Linked DNA regions of Drosophila melanogaster. The protein of the gene in region 1 binds, or shares a complex with, the protein of each later gene. Each region holds a gene or a part of one and is shown on either strand. Other genes may lie near its edges.

Region 1 (3,487 bases):
AGTACAAAGCCGCGCAGGAAGCAGCTCGGGTCGCGCATCTGGCCATCTGGAAGTACGGTGACATAACGCAAGATGATGCGCCCGAGTTCCGCTAAAAGATGCCCGGAAACGTGGAGTAGGCCTGTGGCGTGGAGCGCGTTGCTAGCCGAAAAGATTGTCTGCCACATACCCGCCCTTTATATACATAACAACAAGCAAGAACTTAAAGAATATGAAATTACTAATTCTATCTATACACCAATATATATGATACATATACCACATTGGAAATACACAAATACATACATATGAGCAATGGCATGGAAGAACACGGTACACTTTTTGTATGCTTTAAGCAGCTGGCAAATTATTATTTGGTCTTCTAGTTTTCCTATCATGATACTTTAAATAAATATTTGACACAACCTAGCAACAATTGGAACGTTTTTAAAATGCGTACAATAACCAAAATAAGTGCACCCTCTGATTGTGTAGTGTTCCAAGTTGTAAACCTCAACATTCATCTTTAAAATTTGCAGATTTTATGTTTTTGTAAAGTGTTTTGCATTACTGAGTAAATACAATTAAATAATTTTTTAAAAACGAAAGCAATTCACTTCTTTAGCGCTGCTCCAGCGAATCTACCTTCTCGATGACACTTTCAATGCTAAAATCCTTTGGGATCTTAAGGGTTTTTTGCCGGTCCAGTAAGGCCTGTTTTGTTGCAAGCTGTTGGGCGTTTCGCTGCATTACGACGATATCCGGGATGAGCCGCTCTTCCGCAGCAGCATTAAATCTGCAGAAGAATGGTTTTGGTCAGGGATTCAACTATTAAAGGGATTTGTTCACCAATACCTCTCCAACATAACTACGTCCCTAGTCGCCTCCTCGATGGACGAGAGGATGCGCTGCAGCTCTACGCGTTGCTGCACTGTGGTCTGCCGGTTTTCTATGCATTCCCTCTTCTTGGCACAATAGAAGTCGCGCAAGTAGTTCAGATTGATGTCGTGAATGTGCAAAAGTGAATAATATTGGGCGCATTTGTCAAGGAGCGCCAGGTCATCGTCCGAGAAATCGCCCAACTCGACGCTAGCCAGCTTTAACTGGTCATCGAAGTGCTGGCCTAGACGCATCAATGAATTGACTTCCTCTTGGATCTTCAAGTTCTCTGCATCATAAGAATAATTAGTTGTATGCCTAGCGTTTTTTTTAAATAAACTCACGCATTTTTACTGGAGATGACAAGCTATCGATGGTTCCGAAAAAGATACTACCGCTTTGCTCAAAACGCAGGCGTATAGGCAGCCGGCTTAGAAACAATTTAGACTAAGTTGGCAGGACTTTGCTTTTCTTCGCCACTAATCGTATCCAGGTTTCGCATGTCTTTGTCTTCGTAATCCGAATGTGATAATAGGCGCCTTAGGTGCAGATATCGATAGTCTCTACAGTATTTCAGGGCTACCTAGCAAAATGCCACCAATTGCTTTTGTTGAATCGAATTTTAAGAGACAAGCGATTAAAGTAATAAATAATAGAGCTTTTTAATTGTAATGGTTCTATGCCTAATATCATTAAAAATAACACTTAAATTCGTGGTTCGATTACTTGGGCAGTGTGACCGCATCTCGAAAATTGAAAAAGGCCGTTGTCCCAAGAGTATGAAGAAATAGTTATCAATTTTTCGCTAGTTCATAAAATCGATTTGTACTGCTATTTTTCTTTGTTTACTTTCATTGTGCAAATTCGTAAAAGACATTCGTAATATCGTGTTTTCTAACTAACCCAAAGTACTGGTGCTGCGCAAGTACGGATGTATTTATTTGCGTCGGCAAAATGTGAAATAGAATAAATGGCAAATCGATCGATTTTTGACAACGAAGTGGGAAAGTAGCGGTGTCTGGGTGTGTTTGTGTACTGCGACCAGCCAAAGTTTAGACGAATCCTCCAAGGAAGAGGATAGAACAAAACCCTAAAGCCACACTTTTCATCTGCCATGGAGCACACTGCCTCGCTGCCTGGCTACGTCCGCGAGAAGCTCGCCGAACTGGACTTAGAGCTGTCGGAAGGTATACCTATTTGAATAATACACACAAAAATAAAATATTGTTGTTAAAGTGCGGCGACTGAGTTGTAGAAAATCGCGTGAAAACTGTGGCAGACGTAGTCTGGTCTGATTCAAATCATTGGATACTTGTCGCCCCCAAATGGGATTACAAGTGCTGTTCTCGGCTTTTCTTTCGCTGAAAGCTGCCCACATATAGTCGGGGACCGACCAATTAAAAGAAAAGTGTGTGTGTTGTGTTGTGTGGCTTTCAGCATGAATACATGATTCAGTCGCTACTCCACGCTTTTCAAAAAACGACGAGGCCCAGCGGACATATTAATCGTTAAGAAAACAATTCCATCTGCTTTTCTAGGTGACATTACGCAGAAAGGCTACGAAAAGAAAAGGGCGAAGCTGTTGCAGCCGTTCCTAAAGAAGCCAGAAGGTATGTTCGAAAACATTGATATTTGGTCGTTTGGTCGTCACCAGAAAGTTCTTGATCCTTTTGTTGTGAACAGGCGATAAAGTGAAAAGTACGCCGCCACCGCCATACTACAACGTTAAAAATGCCAACAACAGCACCAACCACGGAAACATCAATAACGACGGCGTCATTGTGTCCAGCGAGGGCTACAGTTATGTGACTGAAGTGCCCTCCCTGTCCTCCTCGCAGCAAAGACATTCCAAAAAAATTGACTTCCATCAGCAAGCCGCCATGAGCTTGTCATCGGCACCACAGAGCGGAAATGCTGGGGCTCCTGGCTACGAAAATATGCGACCGCAGGGTGGAGCAGTCGGCGATCCCGGGTATCAGAACACTCGCGAACCAAGTGCTTTTCAGAACCAACAGTCAACTAATAATAGTCAGCATCGTCAACGACGCACACAGCGCAAAGTAACGCACAATGAGAAACGTTATCATTCTGGTTAGTAGAACAAGTTACAGCAACAACATTTTATCTCTGATCATCTGACCCCTAGAAGTACGACAAGAGGCTGTGCAACAGGCCCTTGCAGCTCTTAAGGGACGGCCAAAACCCAGCCTTCCAATGCCATCGAAGCGCACATCTGTATTAAACCGAAGCCCTGGGTGCAATGATGAGCTGGACTCATCGACGGATGACGAATCCATACCCGAGGAGACAATTTCCCCCGACAAGGAGTACAATTATCCACGGGATCATATAAGCAATAGCATACTGCCACCAGAACCGATAATTAAACCTCCAATTCGTGAATCATCGATGGGTTCACAGCAGCATGCGAGGACAGACGTGAAACAGAACCAAATTACAAATCAAAAGTATACGGCGCCGAATAGCGCTCCAGAAAGGCGACCACCGCAAAACTTACCCCCACTTGTGAGTAATATAATAATAATACATTTAAAGAGGAAAAAAAGCTAGCTTCGACAATATGTTGATTGTGAATATTTATTGCAGTAAATATATACTGTTCAGATGT
Region 2 (7,783 bases), on another chromosome or scaffold:
CATTCTAACAGTACAGGATATTCATATAATTTAAAATTGAAAAGGGCTACAGTATTCACAACACAAATAACGTACTTAATTAGGTGGCGCTCGCATCGAACTTCCATTGGTGGTCATGCGATAGTAGAGATTGAATTCGGACTCGTAGTCCGCGAAACTGCCATTGTTGTATCGTTTACTGGGTGGAACGTAGCGTCGCAATGGATTCTCAAGCAGGAACTGATAGATGCGCTCGGCCTTTTCCAGCTGCAACTGAGTCTTCACCCCAATGGCCATCAGGTTGTCCAGCAATTGGTCAATTTCCTCGTGCTGACGACTCGCCTTCAGTCTCAAATCGTGCGGATCAACTGGGGAGCAGGGTGATACGTTTTCTATCAGACGGATATGAGACAAAATGTCGGAATCGAGCTTACCAATTAACGGCTGCAAATTCAATTTCAACTCAGACGTGTGTGCGGCAATTGCTGACGCCCACAAAATGCGTTTTCGGACTTCCTGCAGAGCGCCGAAGGGTGTTAGCAAATAGCCTGGTGCCAGTTGAACGGTGGAGGCCAACTCCTGGGCCTCGACGATGAGTGGATTGGCCGACAACAGGAAGGAGCTGTCGGAAAAAACATGAACTCTGGATTAATTGGAAATAGCACATTCAGCTAAAGTATGCTCTCACCAGGCGCGCGGCGTACAGCTAAATTTTTCCAGCGGTATTTCCAAAAATGTATTGAATTCCAGCAAATGCGATGGTAGCGTGGCTCCGGATGCAGCCATCAGTGTGGTAGATGCTGCTCCGCCCGGCACTAGCGTTTTGTTGTCAAAACTGCGACGCATCGTTGAGTTTATTGCGCTGCAGTTGCCATCGAACTCCACCTTGGTGCTGGAGAACACACTATCATTGGCCAGGCAAAAACTCTCCGCACCCAACATGGACATATTGCTGACTTTTAGCTTAGTGCTCATCAGCTGGGACTTGGCGTTTTGTTTCTGTGTGGCCGCTTGCATATCGTCCAGCAGGTTCTTCATCATATTTCGCGAAAACAGGATCTTCTCCTTGATCTGTGACAGCTGCACCATATCTTGCTGGATGCGATTGATGCTGGAGTTAATGTCGCCGTATACTTGTTTCACAGAGCCTAGCTTTAGATCGTGATTCTCCAGCTGCTTGGCGCCCGCATCTAGCTCCAGACGCAGTTGCTCAATCTGCTCACGAAGGAATTCGTTTTGGGAGCGATTAAAATTGCGCATGTTGTACTGCACCAGATAGTCGCTAATCAGTTCATCCGCATTTTCCTCGTCGCCCAAACTTATGCCATTAAATCTGTATACCTTTGATTGCAGTTTGTCCACAAAGACGCTGTAGTCTTGGCAAAAGCGTTCCTCCTTCAGTTCCAGCTCCTTTTGGGCCGCGAAATATTTGGCCGCCAGACCCAGCATATCGGCCTTGGTCTTTAGTAACTTGACCTCATAGTTATTCAGCGGTGGCTTATCATTTGTGCATTCGCCTCTGGATTCATTCAGCTTCATGATGTGCTGCAGCTGCTCCTCTTTGATCTTCATTACCACGTTCAGAAGCAGGGAGTTGGGAATATCCGCAAAGGTGCTCCGCATCTGATCCCATAATCGCTGCTTGGCCTCGGCTAAATTGTTCACCGCATTGCCATCGTCACACATTCCATAGAAGGTCTCCAGCTGCTTGAGAGCCTGCTCCACAGCCCTTGTTGCCTGCGCCTCGCTGGCATTTCTAGCACTCAGCTTCACGGGCGTGGTGCCCAAGATTTGGATCTTGTTCTTCAACTCCTGGTCGTAGTTCTTATTCAGCGACTCCAGCTTCAGGTCAAGGATATTGCATTTGGATTCAAGTAGTTGCTTCCGGTTCTCAGCACTGATGGTTTGAATGTCTGTATGGGATTCACCGCATTAAATTGACGTCAAGGTTATCAGTATGTTCACTTTATACCCACTCTTGGTCTTGATGCCGGCAGATAGCTTTTGGTACTCTTTTCGGGCCTCCGTAAGCTGTTGGTTCGCCTTCTCCTTGTGCTTCTTTAGCTCCTGTATTTTTTGGTACCTCTGGAGCTCCGGTGGCTGGAAACTCCTAGAGGCCAGCGGCACCATTTTGTCCTTGTAGCGAGCCACTTGGGCAATCAGCAGGTTCTCGCGCACCTCCCGCACGTAATCCACCGGCTGGATGCGGGATTGCAGCTGGTTCAAAAGTAAACTGGAGCCGGACTTAAAAATTCTGTGAAGCAAAAAGCGGGTTTTAAGTACGGATAGTTGCCGATTTGCCTAACACAGCTGTAACTTACCTTCGGAGTGCATCATCGGTGGGCAGGGCAGTGGGCGGGCAGCCAAGATTAGTGGCCCAGTTCTTAAATTCTGTTATTTTCTCCTGGTATGCCATGATTTGCAACTAATTAAATTTTTCGCAAAAAGGCGCAGTCGTTTGAACCAGCCATTCACCAACACAATCAAATATGGCAGGGTTGTCAACAAACTACTATTCGCATCAAGTTGGCAGCAACTATAACGGTTATTTAAATTAATTTTTCATTTTAAATTACAACTAAAGATCATATCTAATTATTGAATGGATATAATACTTACTTATAAGCAAGAATTCTGTTAATTAGATATATTCCAGATTTTTTTTATTTATGATATTTTTGGATTTACCAATTAGTTTACCAACTCGTTTTTATAGTGCTGAGAAATACGTTTGCTGCTAAACAGCTGGGAGAGCAAGTAGCTAAAATATCTTAATTAAAAAGTTCCACGTGTTTTCCAAATATATATACTAACGTAATCTGTATAAATAAACTGTGTAAGAATCAAGCAAAGTCCGACAAAATAAAATTTAAAGTAATATATAATTTTATTAGTTATTAATATATGTTGAAAAAAAAACATTGTTCATAGCTAGTTAAAAGCTGAAAAGTTGACAGCACTGGCTCAAGCAATTCCCTCTGACCAGTGCTGGAAAACACTCGCTGTCTTTTGAGCGGCGCACGTGGAGCAAAATCGAAGTGCTCACGTTTTTTTTTAAGTTCTGCTCCAAGAAACTGGATAAACTAAGTTAAAAATATGGGTCGGAAGGCTGAATACAGTGAGAAACCGAAAAAGGGACCTGGGCGCAAGGCGCGCAAGCAAGGACCGCCTGTTTTTCGCAAACAATCGTTTGGTGAGAGCTCCTGAATATTACCCTATTCAATGGGTGTTCAATTCAAATGTTTTACTTCACAGCTCCCATGGAAGAGGAGGACAAGAAGCTTTCCCACCGACAGAAGCAGAGGTTCGTTAAGCGAGAGCAAAAGAAAGTAGTCCAGAAGGCCAAACTACAGGAGAAGAGGGCCAAGGGAAAGTTACCACAACCGGCTAAGCGGAAGACGGCCTACAACAGCGACAGCGATCCTGAGGATAATGAAGAGGAACCACAGGTTGCATCCTCCGATGAGGAGGTGCCTCAACTGGTGCCGGCTCCGAAGGGCCAGAAAGCTACAGCTCCCAAGGGTTTTACAGATGATAATGATGCCTGGCTGAAGCCCAAGAAGCAACAGAAGCAGCCAGAAACGGAGTCCGAGGAGGAGGAGGAGGAGGATGAGGAGTCGGAGGAGGACTCCGAAGATGAGTTGGGAGAAGAATGTGAAGAGGAAGAGGAGGGAGACGATGAGGAAGGATTGGAATCTGATGATGATACCGCTCAGGTTGGCAAGCTGGCCGATCTATCCGACGATGATGATGCCAACTCCGACGATGACTTTGACATATCTGGCGAGGAAGATGGTGCTCAGGCAGACAGTGATGAAGAGGAGGATGAGGACGACGACGATGATGATGATGATGATGATGATGACAAGCTGCCCATCGAGCGGGCTAACAAGAAGTTGAAAAAGCGCGAGGCAGAGGAAGCCCAACTGGCCGACGACGAAATGTTGGAAACCGTTGACAAGCAGGATGTTTTCCAGCTACCCGTCGAAGGCGAAGAAACCGAGAAGGACCTAACCCTGCAGGAAGTGCAACAGCGCATAAAGGACGTCAGTCTGGTTCTTTCCGACTTCAAAAGGTATCGTCAAGCGGATAGGTCTCGCGGGGAGTACATCGATTTGCTGCGCAGGGATCTGTGTTTGTATTACAGCTACAACGAATTTTTGATGGAGAAGCTGATGGATATGTTGCCGCTGACAGAGCTAATGGAATATCTGGAGGCCTCAGAGGTTAGTATATTTCATAAAAAATATAGTTACAAGATTAATCATTAAAAATTAACCCCTTTAGATTGCTCGTCCCCTAACCATACGCACCAATACTCTAAAAACACGTCGTAGGGATTTGGCCGGAGCTCTGATCAATCGTGGCGTCAACTTGGATCCCCTTGGTAAATGGACGAAAGTTGGATTGGTTGTCTTTAACTCACAGGTGCCACTGGGTGCAACTCCAGAGTATCTGGCTGGCCACTACATGATCCAGGGCGCCTCTTCGCTGTTGCCTGTAATGGCACTCGCCCCGCAAGAGAACGAACGCATCCTGGACATGTGCTCCGCCCCAGGTGGAAAGGGATCCCACATCGCAAGCATCATGAAGAACACTGGTGTGCTCTTCGCCAACGATTCTAACAGGGATCGCATCAAGGCCATTGTTGCCAATTTCCATCGCCTGGGAATTGTAAATGCAGTGGTCAGCTGCGAGGATGGCACTAAGTTCCGGAATATTATGACTGGCTTTGACCGTGTCCTGCTGGATGCTCCGTGCACTGGAACTGGCGTCGTCTCTAAGGATCCCAGTGTGAAGACCACCAAGTCGGAAGTAGATGTACAAAGGTGCTACAACCTGCAGAGGAAGCTTCTGCTGACTGCCATAGATTGTACGGATGCGAAGTCATCAACTGGCGGCTACATTGTATACTCAACTTGTTCGGTGTTGCCCGAGGAGAACGAATGGGTCATCGACTATGCACTGAAGAAGCGAAATGTCAAACTTGTGCCCACTGGTCTGGACTTCGGCGTGGAGGGCTTTACCAAATTCCGTCAGCATCGGTTCCATCCTAGCTTAAACCTTACCAAGCGCTACTATCCGCACACCCACAACATGGACGGGTTCTACGTGGCCAAGCTCAAGAAATTCTCCAACACCATACCCATAACTAAGGAGCAGCAGGAGGAGGATGAAAAGCAGCTGGATGAGGCCATCGAAGCGGACGCCACTACAGAAGCGGCTGCGGAGTCTGAGGAGGTGGAGGAGGAGGTAGCGTCAAAGGAGAAGGGTCCCCGAAAACTGCTTGGAAAGCGCGCCGGAAAACCCAGTTTCACCGAAATCGAACAGGAACTGAAGAAAAAGAAGCGGGAAGAGAGCAAGACCAAGTATGTGGCCAAGGTGTTTGAGCAGCCTGTCAAAAAGCCAAAGCCAGAAAAGCCAGCAGAGAAGAAAAATGAGAAATCCCAGGCACCGGACAAGCAAACAAATTCAAGCGAGTCACCTTCCAAGTCTGCACCTAAACAAAAACAAACCAATGGGAAAACCACTGTTTCCAATTCAGATGCGAAATCATTCAATAAAAAGAACAAAGGATCGCAACCCAAGGAAAATGGAGCCGGATCACCAGCTAAACCAGATGACAATAAGCCAACAACCAATGGCACAAACTCCCCTAGCAAATCAGCAATTAAGGAAACGAAAACGAAGCCACAGCCGAAAGGAAAACAGTCGCCCAAGGGAAACGCCAAACTGGCCAAGGCGCCGCGAGTGGATATCGACGATGTGCCCATTCTCGAGGGAAAACCCATCAAGAAGCAGAACAAGCTGAAGCAAAAATCCAAACAGATCGGCCAGCTGAAAAAGTCCACGGCGGGTGCGAATGCGGGAAAGAAGCAAAAGTTCAAGAAGTGAACACCTTAGATCCAGTTTTGTTAAGTAGACTATAAGCGTGTGACATATAGTTGGGGTAGTCCCGACGCGATTACCAATTTTATATTGCGAACTGTCTTAGCGAACGATTGAAGATTGAACTACAACAGCGGTGTAATTAAGATTCAATAAACGTTAAGATCGGTTTAATGTACTCACCAAGCGGGTTTATATAGGTGGCAGGCACATTTCATTAGAGGTAATTGCTCTACATTTCAAATGTGAATTCTAGTATTGACCAAGCTGTCACTATCAGCCCCAAAGCTCTATAGGTAGTTCGAAGGTGGCCGAGCTCAGCAGAGCGTTGCGATAATCTGTTGTTTCATTGTGAATCGAGCGAGCTTAATGGGATGTTTACTTTTACTGTGCTCTTGCCTGGTGGCATTATTCATTCCCATCCAGGCAATAGTGGACATCAACGTGGCAACGTCGAACGATATTCACAATAATCTCAATAGAACAACATCACCGTGCACGAATTTCTGGAATTTTGCCTGCGGTCGCTTCTCCAGTGCCTCTAAATATGTGGACAACTTTGAGCGAGTCGAGGATCAGTTCGCCACTGCCATGGTGGAATTCATGGAGAGCCACTTGGGTGAAAACGATACACTGGCACCCCGACTGATAAAGCAAATGCGACAATACTACAAGGCCTGCAAGGAGGATACGCGAAAGCTTCACGGGAATCCTCGTCCCGAAGAACTGGTCAATCAGTGGATTTTGCATCCTAAAAAATTTCTCGTATACGGCTTGAATGGTGTATTCATTGATGAGCGAGTTGATGTGGCCGCCAATGATTCCATGCGTTGGGTTATTCAGTTAAGGATGCCTGACCCGGCTGATAGATATAGTGACCGCCGTGTCTTGCAGCTCATGCGCCTTTACGAAGAAGCGTGGTACTCGATGGGAGTGGTTAAACTGGTGGAGAAAATGCATCAGCTGCAGGATAAGTATCGTGCAGAATATCCTGTTGTATATACATGGAGTTTCAGTGAATTAAGGCAGGAAATCCCTATTCCGCATTCCTTTTTTATTGAGTTATTGGGCGTGAACCACACCGAGGAGCTTTATCACCTGACTTTCGAGGTGAGTGATGTTGAGTATTTGCGGGAATGTTTTCGCTGTCTACGGGATTTCGCCAGTGAGCCGAAGGACACGTACATTCGAGCACGCCAATATGTTTTAGTGGAGGAGTCGGAGCCAAGGGAGCGGAATCCAAGAAGCTGCATTCACCATATGCGTGCCTATTTACCCCTGGGCATGAACTACATCTATGATCGATTTATATACCAAAACCGGGAGGAGGATACCAGTAAGGTACTGGAGATTTTATCCACTTTAAAGGCAGCTTTTGGCCAATATTTAGATGCCAATCGCCTGCAGCTTACGCCAAACCAGTTGGCCTATGTAAGAGCAAAGTTGGAAGGTATTCAGATCAAAATAGGAAATTTGCCTGAGGAGAAATCTCCTGAGTTCTATAATAACCACTATGGAAGTGCGAACTTTTCCGCGACAAACTTCCTGGCCAATCTCCTTGAAGCATTTGCCCTACGTACCCGTCTCCAGAATGCTGGACTGCTTGCAAGGAATTCTCGAGTGGATCTGCGGCACTATTATGTCAACGATAACGTAAGGAAGGCTCGCACTTCTCCCTTCTATGAGAACGAAAGGAACACCATTACTGTTCCCATGGAATTTTTGCAGTGGCCCTTGTTCGATCACCGAGAGCACACCATCTTCCAGCACAGTCTTCTGGGCGCAGTCCTGGGCCACGAGATGAACCACGCCTTTGAACAGGAAGGTATACTCTTCGATGCAGCTGGAAATGAGTCACCTGTGGGCTTGGAGATCCGGGAGTCGAAGCCTTTTCGGGATGCCATCAAGTGTGCGG
Region 3 (4,236 bases), on another chromosome or scaffold:
GGTTTATTTGACTAAAAAAACACACTTTGCACAAACACTTCACTTTATCCAATTGTATTACCGGAAGTCACGAGGGGAAAGATGGCCCGAAGCACGATAATCGAGTGAACCAGTGGCCACAACTGTTGGTCCTTTTATATCCGCAAGGACCTCTGCTCGGCAAAACTCGTCCTGCAGCCCGAATGCCGGCAGCCAATGAGAGTCCTGCAAATCGGCGGGCAAATGACTTCGTCTGCACGGAAAGTGAATCTCTAGGTTAGGCGAACAAGGTTTTATGGCCTCACTTGTTGCTCCTTGGCCAAATCTGAATGGTAATCGCTTGGAAACGCCGTCGCGTGCCGCCAGCAATTAATGCGTCTCTTTGGTGGCACTCGTGTAGACTGCTTTAAGACGATGCTGCCTTAATACGCCCGGTGTTTAGTGAACCCAAATCTGATAGCCCAGGGAAAAGGCATTTCAAAGGGGGGAAAACAATTACCAAAGTCGTAAGCAAAAGTAAATCATGTTGCTGCCTAAGAATCTTTACATACACACATTATACAGCATCCCTAAATTTAGTGTATTGACTTATTATTAGACTAGCAACGCCGTAATGTTTATTTTTGAATAATTTAACATTTATTTACTGACCAGATTCTAAATCAACTAAGTTCACTTGCGGTGCAGACCACCACCTGGACGAATTACTGCAGCGGCTGCCTTTTTGACCTCATCAATTGCATGCATCATGCGCTGCGGCTCAGTGAGAAACCAAATCCACAGGACTACGCTATAGCGATACAGTTTATCCCGCTCCTAAAAGGATAAACAACATTAAAATGTTATATTCCATGATTTTATAGTTAATTAGTATACTTACAATGCGCCCCACGACATTTTCCAGGAAATCTTTTCGCAAGGAACGCCCTGACTCATCCAGGCGAGTTTGCTGCTGGGTGACATTGTATATGGCGCTCAAGTAGCGAACGTTCTCAAACATGGGCTGCTCCAATGGGGAATCATAGACAAACGGCCGCAAAGTCTGCTCCAAGCGCTTGCTAAAAAAAAATATTAATAGCTTAAACGATCTGTATCAAAGTTAAGTATTGCAACTTACAGTTCTGCCAGTTGATCCTGAACAGCAGCACACGACTTTCGGTTCAGCATGCTCTGAAAGGAGTAAGACAGCAGGCGACCGAACTTTTCGTATTCGAAGAGACAAGCCTTGGCCTCAGTTGCCTTTATGTTCTGTCCCAAGTGGGCTGACAACAAATTGGCAATCTCCTGCACAAACTGGGCACAAATGCCCTGATAACTGGCGTTAATGGAGCGCATGGTCTGGATTCTTTGCCAAGTGGCCTGCGCTTGGTCGCGCAACTCCTCCGAAGTGTCCAGGCAGTTGCGCTTCTTGTCGCAGTCCAGTTGGATCGCAATCCACAGCAATTCCGCATTGGACAGAGCATCTGAGATGATTTTAGTGAGCTTCTTGTCGCTTTCATGACGTCGAACAGCTCTTTCCAACTTCAGTTTAGTGTTCTCGTAGAGAACCAGCTCAATACGTCGCTGGGTGTGCTGCTGAATGTGAATGGTTAGATCGTTTAAAAGCGTATCGTGTGTATTGCTCAGTTGATAGTCGTTGAGCAGCTGCAGATCGTGCATTTCACGCGCCATGTCCGTTAAACTGAGGCAGTGAATCTTGCCAAGATCCAACTGGTCAATAAGACACTGCGTGGCCTTCACCTTGGCCTTTGTTCTTATGTAGGATAGTGCATAAAACTGGATGCTGTAAAAACGGTCATATCAATTAATGTGCATTGTTTTTAGCACAGAACCTTTGTGCTTACCCACGTTCCAAGTCCTCCAGCTTGGCCTTTTCGCGCCCAAGATCTTCCTCCGCGCTCTGGAACTCATCATAGTCCTGGATCTTAAAATTCTCCTTCACATACAGAGTAAAGTATTGCATAAATGAATCGCATTTGTGGAAATACTGCTCCAATGGCAGTTGATGCATGAATAGAGGCGGCAACTGTGGGGCGGTGAATGCCTTTTTGGCTTCGGCGCTTAGCCGGCAGTTCTCCTGCTGCAGTTCCTCCAGTTGCTTGGCTTTGGACTGGCACTCGGCTATCAGATCCTTCTCCCTCAGTTGCAACTCGGCGGTGACGCACTCCACCTCGCCTAGGTGCTTAGTTATCGAGTGCTTTGTGGTCCTGCAAAAGTGGATTGACCATCGATCGAACATATATGAGGAAGGTTACAGTTTTTCCCTTACATCATATCTTCCAGAAGCGTAGCATAATCCCTTGAGGCATCTTCGATCGCCTCAATGCTCATGGTCAAGGCGTCGACATCCTGCTGCTTGTAGTTGAGAAGCCCCGGACTTTCGGCCTCGATTTGCAGGAGCTTGAGCTCGCGATCCGAAGCACTTAGCCACTCGCCCCGCCGCTGCATCTCCTCCCGCTCCAGAACCTGTCGCTCTGTGAGGATATTTGCATCCGTGATGTTCCCGGACAGGAACTTGAAGAACATCTCCATCTGCTCATCGTACAGAATCCACTGGTTCGAGCTGTCCACTCCCAGCTTCTTGAAGAATTCCGAGTTCTGCAATCATGGCGATTATAAGCTGATCATTAATTAAATCATCACACATACGCTCAGCAGATCGCCCATCTTTTAAAAAAATGACAACACAAGCTGATTACTTATCGGTTATATCGAAAGGTTTCAGAGACGTTACTAGAGATGGTACCTTTTGAAAATTAACAGGAAATAGTGCTTAATAATTAAGCTTAATAAAAATCGTAGAAATTCCTGATTTCCTATCAACGATTTCATGAAATATTTACTCTTATCTATTTCTGTTAAATATATATATATATAATATATATAATATATATATATATATATATATATATATATAATATATATAATATATATATATATATATATATATATATAATAAATTTCTGTTTATTATATATATATATTTTATATATGAATTATTTTAAATTTTTGCTATGAAGTAAGGATACAATTTTTCTAAATTTGACACAAGTTCTTAAGTTTAATTCAAGTAAATATTATGTTTTAGTACACCTCAATCTTAAAGGGCTTATAAATTGATCTTTGTTAAAATGATTTTAATACCTTATATCGATATGTGGATAAACGTGCACACCACCCCTGGTAAATAGAAACACCCTAACGCCATCTAGTTTGCAGCCCTGGTACCGCTTTGGACGCACTTCGTGTGGCAGTCTGGCAACCCTACACTGAATGACAAGTAAATTCTGTTCGTTTTGCAAAATAAACTTGTAAATTGGTATATTCCTTAGCAATGGTAAGTACCGCGCCCAGAAGACCGGTATTGGTCTGAGAGCCACCATTGGGCCGATGACCATTGAAGGCTAGCAATCGTGGTAGTAATTGACTTGCGTGTATTTTCCCAGGCTCGCCGCTATGATTCCCGCACCACGATCTTCTCGCCGGAGGGCCGTTTGTACCAGGTGGAGTACGCCATGGAGGCCATCTCGCACGCCGGAACCTGCCTCGGAATCCTCGCCGAGGACGGCATCCTGTTGGCAGCCGAGTGCCGCAGCACAAACAAATTGCTGGACAGCGCCATTCCTTCGGAGAAGATCTATCGCCTGAACGAGTGAGTTGAAATTTCAGTAGTATATCCTACGATGAATTCAAGGGTCACAGGCCATATATTTAACTGGCCATGATCTTAATTACCCACTACATTCTCTACGAATCTATCTCTATCCAAGCCTCTTTGTTTTCCCTCAGCAACATGGTCTGCTCGGTGGCTGGCATCACCTCCGATGCCAATGTGCTGACCTCAGAACTGCGTCTGATTGCCCAGCGTTACCAGTTCAGCTACGGCGAGGTGATTCCCTGCGAGCAGCTGGTGTCGCACCTCTGCGACATCAAACAGGCGTACACTCAGTACGGCGGAAAGCGTCCCTTCGGCGTCTCGCTGCTCTACATGGGATGGGACAACAAGTACGGCTACCAACTGTACCAGTCGGATCCCAGCGGCAACTACGGCGGATGGAAGGCCACCTGTATTGGCAACAACTTCGGTGCCGCGATCTCCATGCTGAAGCAGGAGCTGGCCGATAAGGAGAACGTGAAGCTGACGCTGGCGGACGCCAAGGATTTGGCCATCAAGGTACTGAGCATGACCCTGGACACCACCAAGCTGACCCCGGAGAAGGTCGAGATGGCCACGCTGCAGCGTGTGGACAATAAGAC

Evidence for each region. Proteins that work in one complex are often made in the same cells at the same time.
Region 2: wac (region 1) and dgt5 share a complex: the UniProt entries of both Drosophila melanogaster proteins name them as parts of the augmin complex.
Region 3: wac (region 1) and dgt3 share a complex: the UniProt entries of both Drosophila melanogaster proteins name them as parts of the augmin complex.

Annotation. Positions count from the first base shown.
Region 1 is NT_037436.4:256,111-259,597, reverse strand, and holds wac (wee augmin), read right to left. Parts: upstream 1,423-3,487; 5' UTR 1,207-1,422; coding exon 1,203-1,206; intron 1,193-1,202; exon of another isoform or gene 1,148-1,192; coding exon 835-1,147; intron 776-834; coding exon 601-775; 3' UTR 501-600; downstream 1-500. Other genes in the region: Tudor-SN (tudor staphylococcal nuclease), read left to right, coding at 1-95; DIP2 (DISCO interacting protein 2), read left to right, coding at 1,973-2,045, 2,397-2,468, 2,542-2,949, 3,005-3,384. UniProt on the Drosophila melanogaster protein: As part of the augmin complex, plays a role in centrosome-independent generation of spindle microtubules.
Region 2 is NT_033778.4:12,465,678-12,473,460, forward strand, and holds dgt5 (dim gamma-tubulin 5), read right to left. Parts: upstream 6,099-7,783; 5' UTR 6,052-6,098; intron 6,046-6,051; exon of another isoform or gene 5,875-6,045; coding exon of another isoform or gene 4,267-5,874; intron 4,206-4,266; coding exon of another isoform or gene 3,235-4,205; intron 3,173-3,234; coding exon of another isoform or gene 3,076-3,172; exon of another isoform or gene 2,974-3,075; intron 2,516-2,973; 5' UTR 2,396-2,515; coding exon 2,301-2,395; intron 2,234-2,300; coding exon 1,956-2,233; intron 1,893-1,955; coding exon 668-1,892; intron 602-667; coding exon 414-601; intron 348-413; coding exon 76-347; 3' UTR 1-75. Other genes in the region: CG8545 (uncharacterized protein), read left to right, coding at 3,076-3,172, 3,235-4,205, 4,267-5,874; Nepl10 (Neprilysin-like 10), read left to right, coding at 6,238-7,783. UniProt on the Drosophila melanogaster protein: As part of the augmin complex, plays a role in centrosome-independent generation of spindle microtubules. The complex is required for mitotic spindle assembly through its involvement in localizing gamma-tubulin to spindle microtubules.
Region 3 is NT_033778.4:20,991,678-20,995,913, forward strand, and holds dgt3 (dim gamma-tubulin 3), read right to left. Parts: upstream 2,705-4,236; 5' UTR 2,647-2,704; coding exon 2,629-2,646; intron 2,578-2,628; coding exon 2,249-2,577; intron 2,187-2,248; coding exon 1,824-2,186; intron 1,763-1,823; coding exon 1,097-1,762; intron 1,038-1,096; coding exon 860-1,037; intron 796-859; coding exon 652-795; 3' UTR 599-651; downstream 1-598. Other genes in the region: Prosalpha3 (proteasome alpha3 subunit), read left to right, coding at 3,314-3,316, 3,426-3,631, 3,769-4,236. UniProt on the Drosophila melanogaster protein: As part of the augmin complex, plays a role in centrosome-independent generation of spindle microtubules. The complex is required for mitotic spindle assembly through its involvement in localizing gamma-tubulin to spindle microtubules.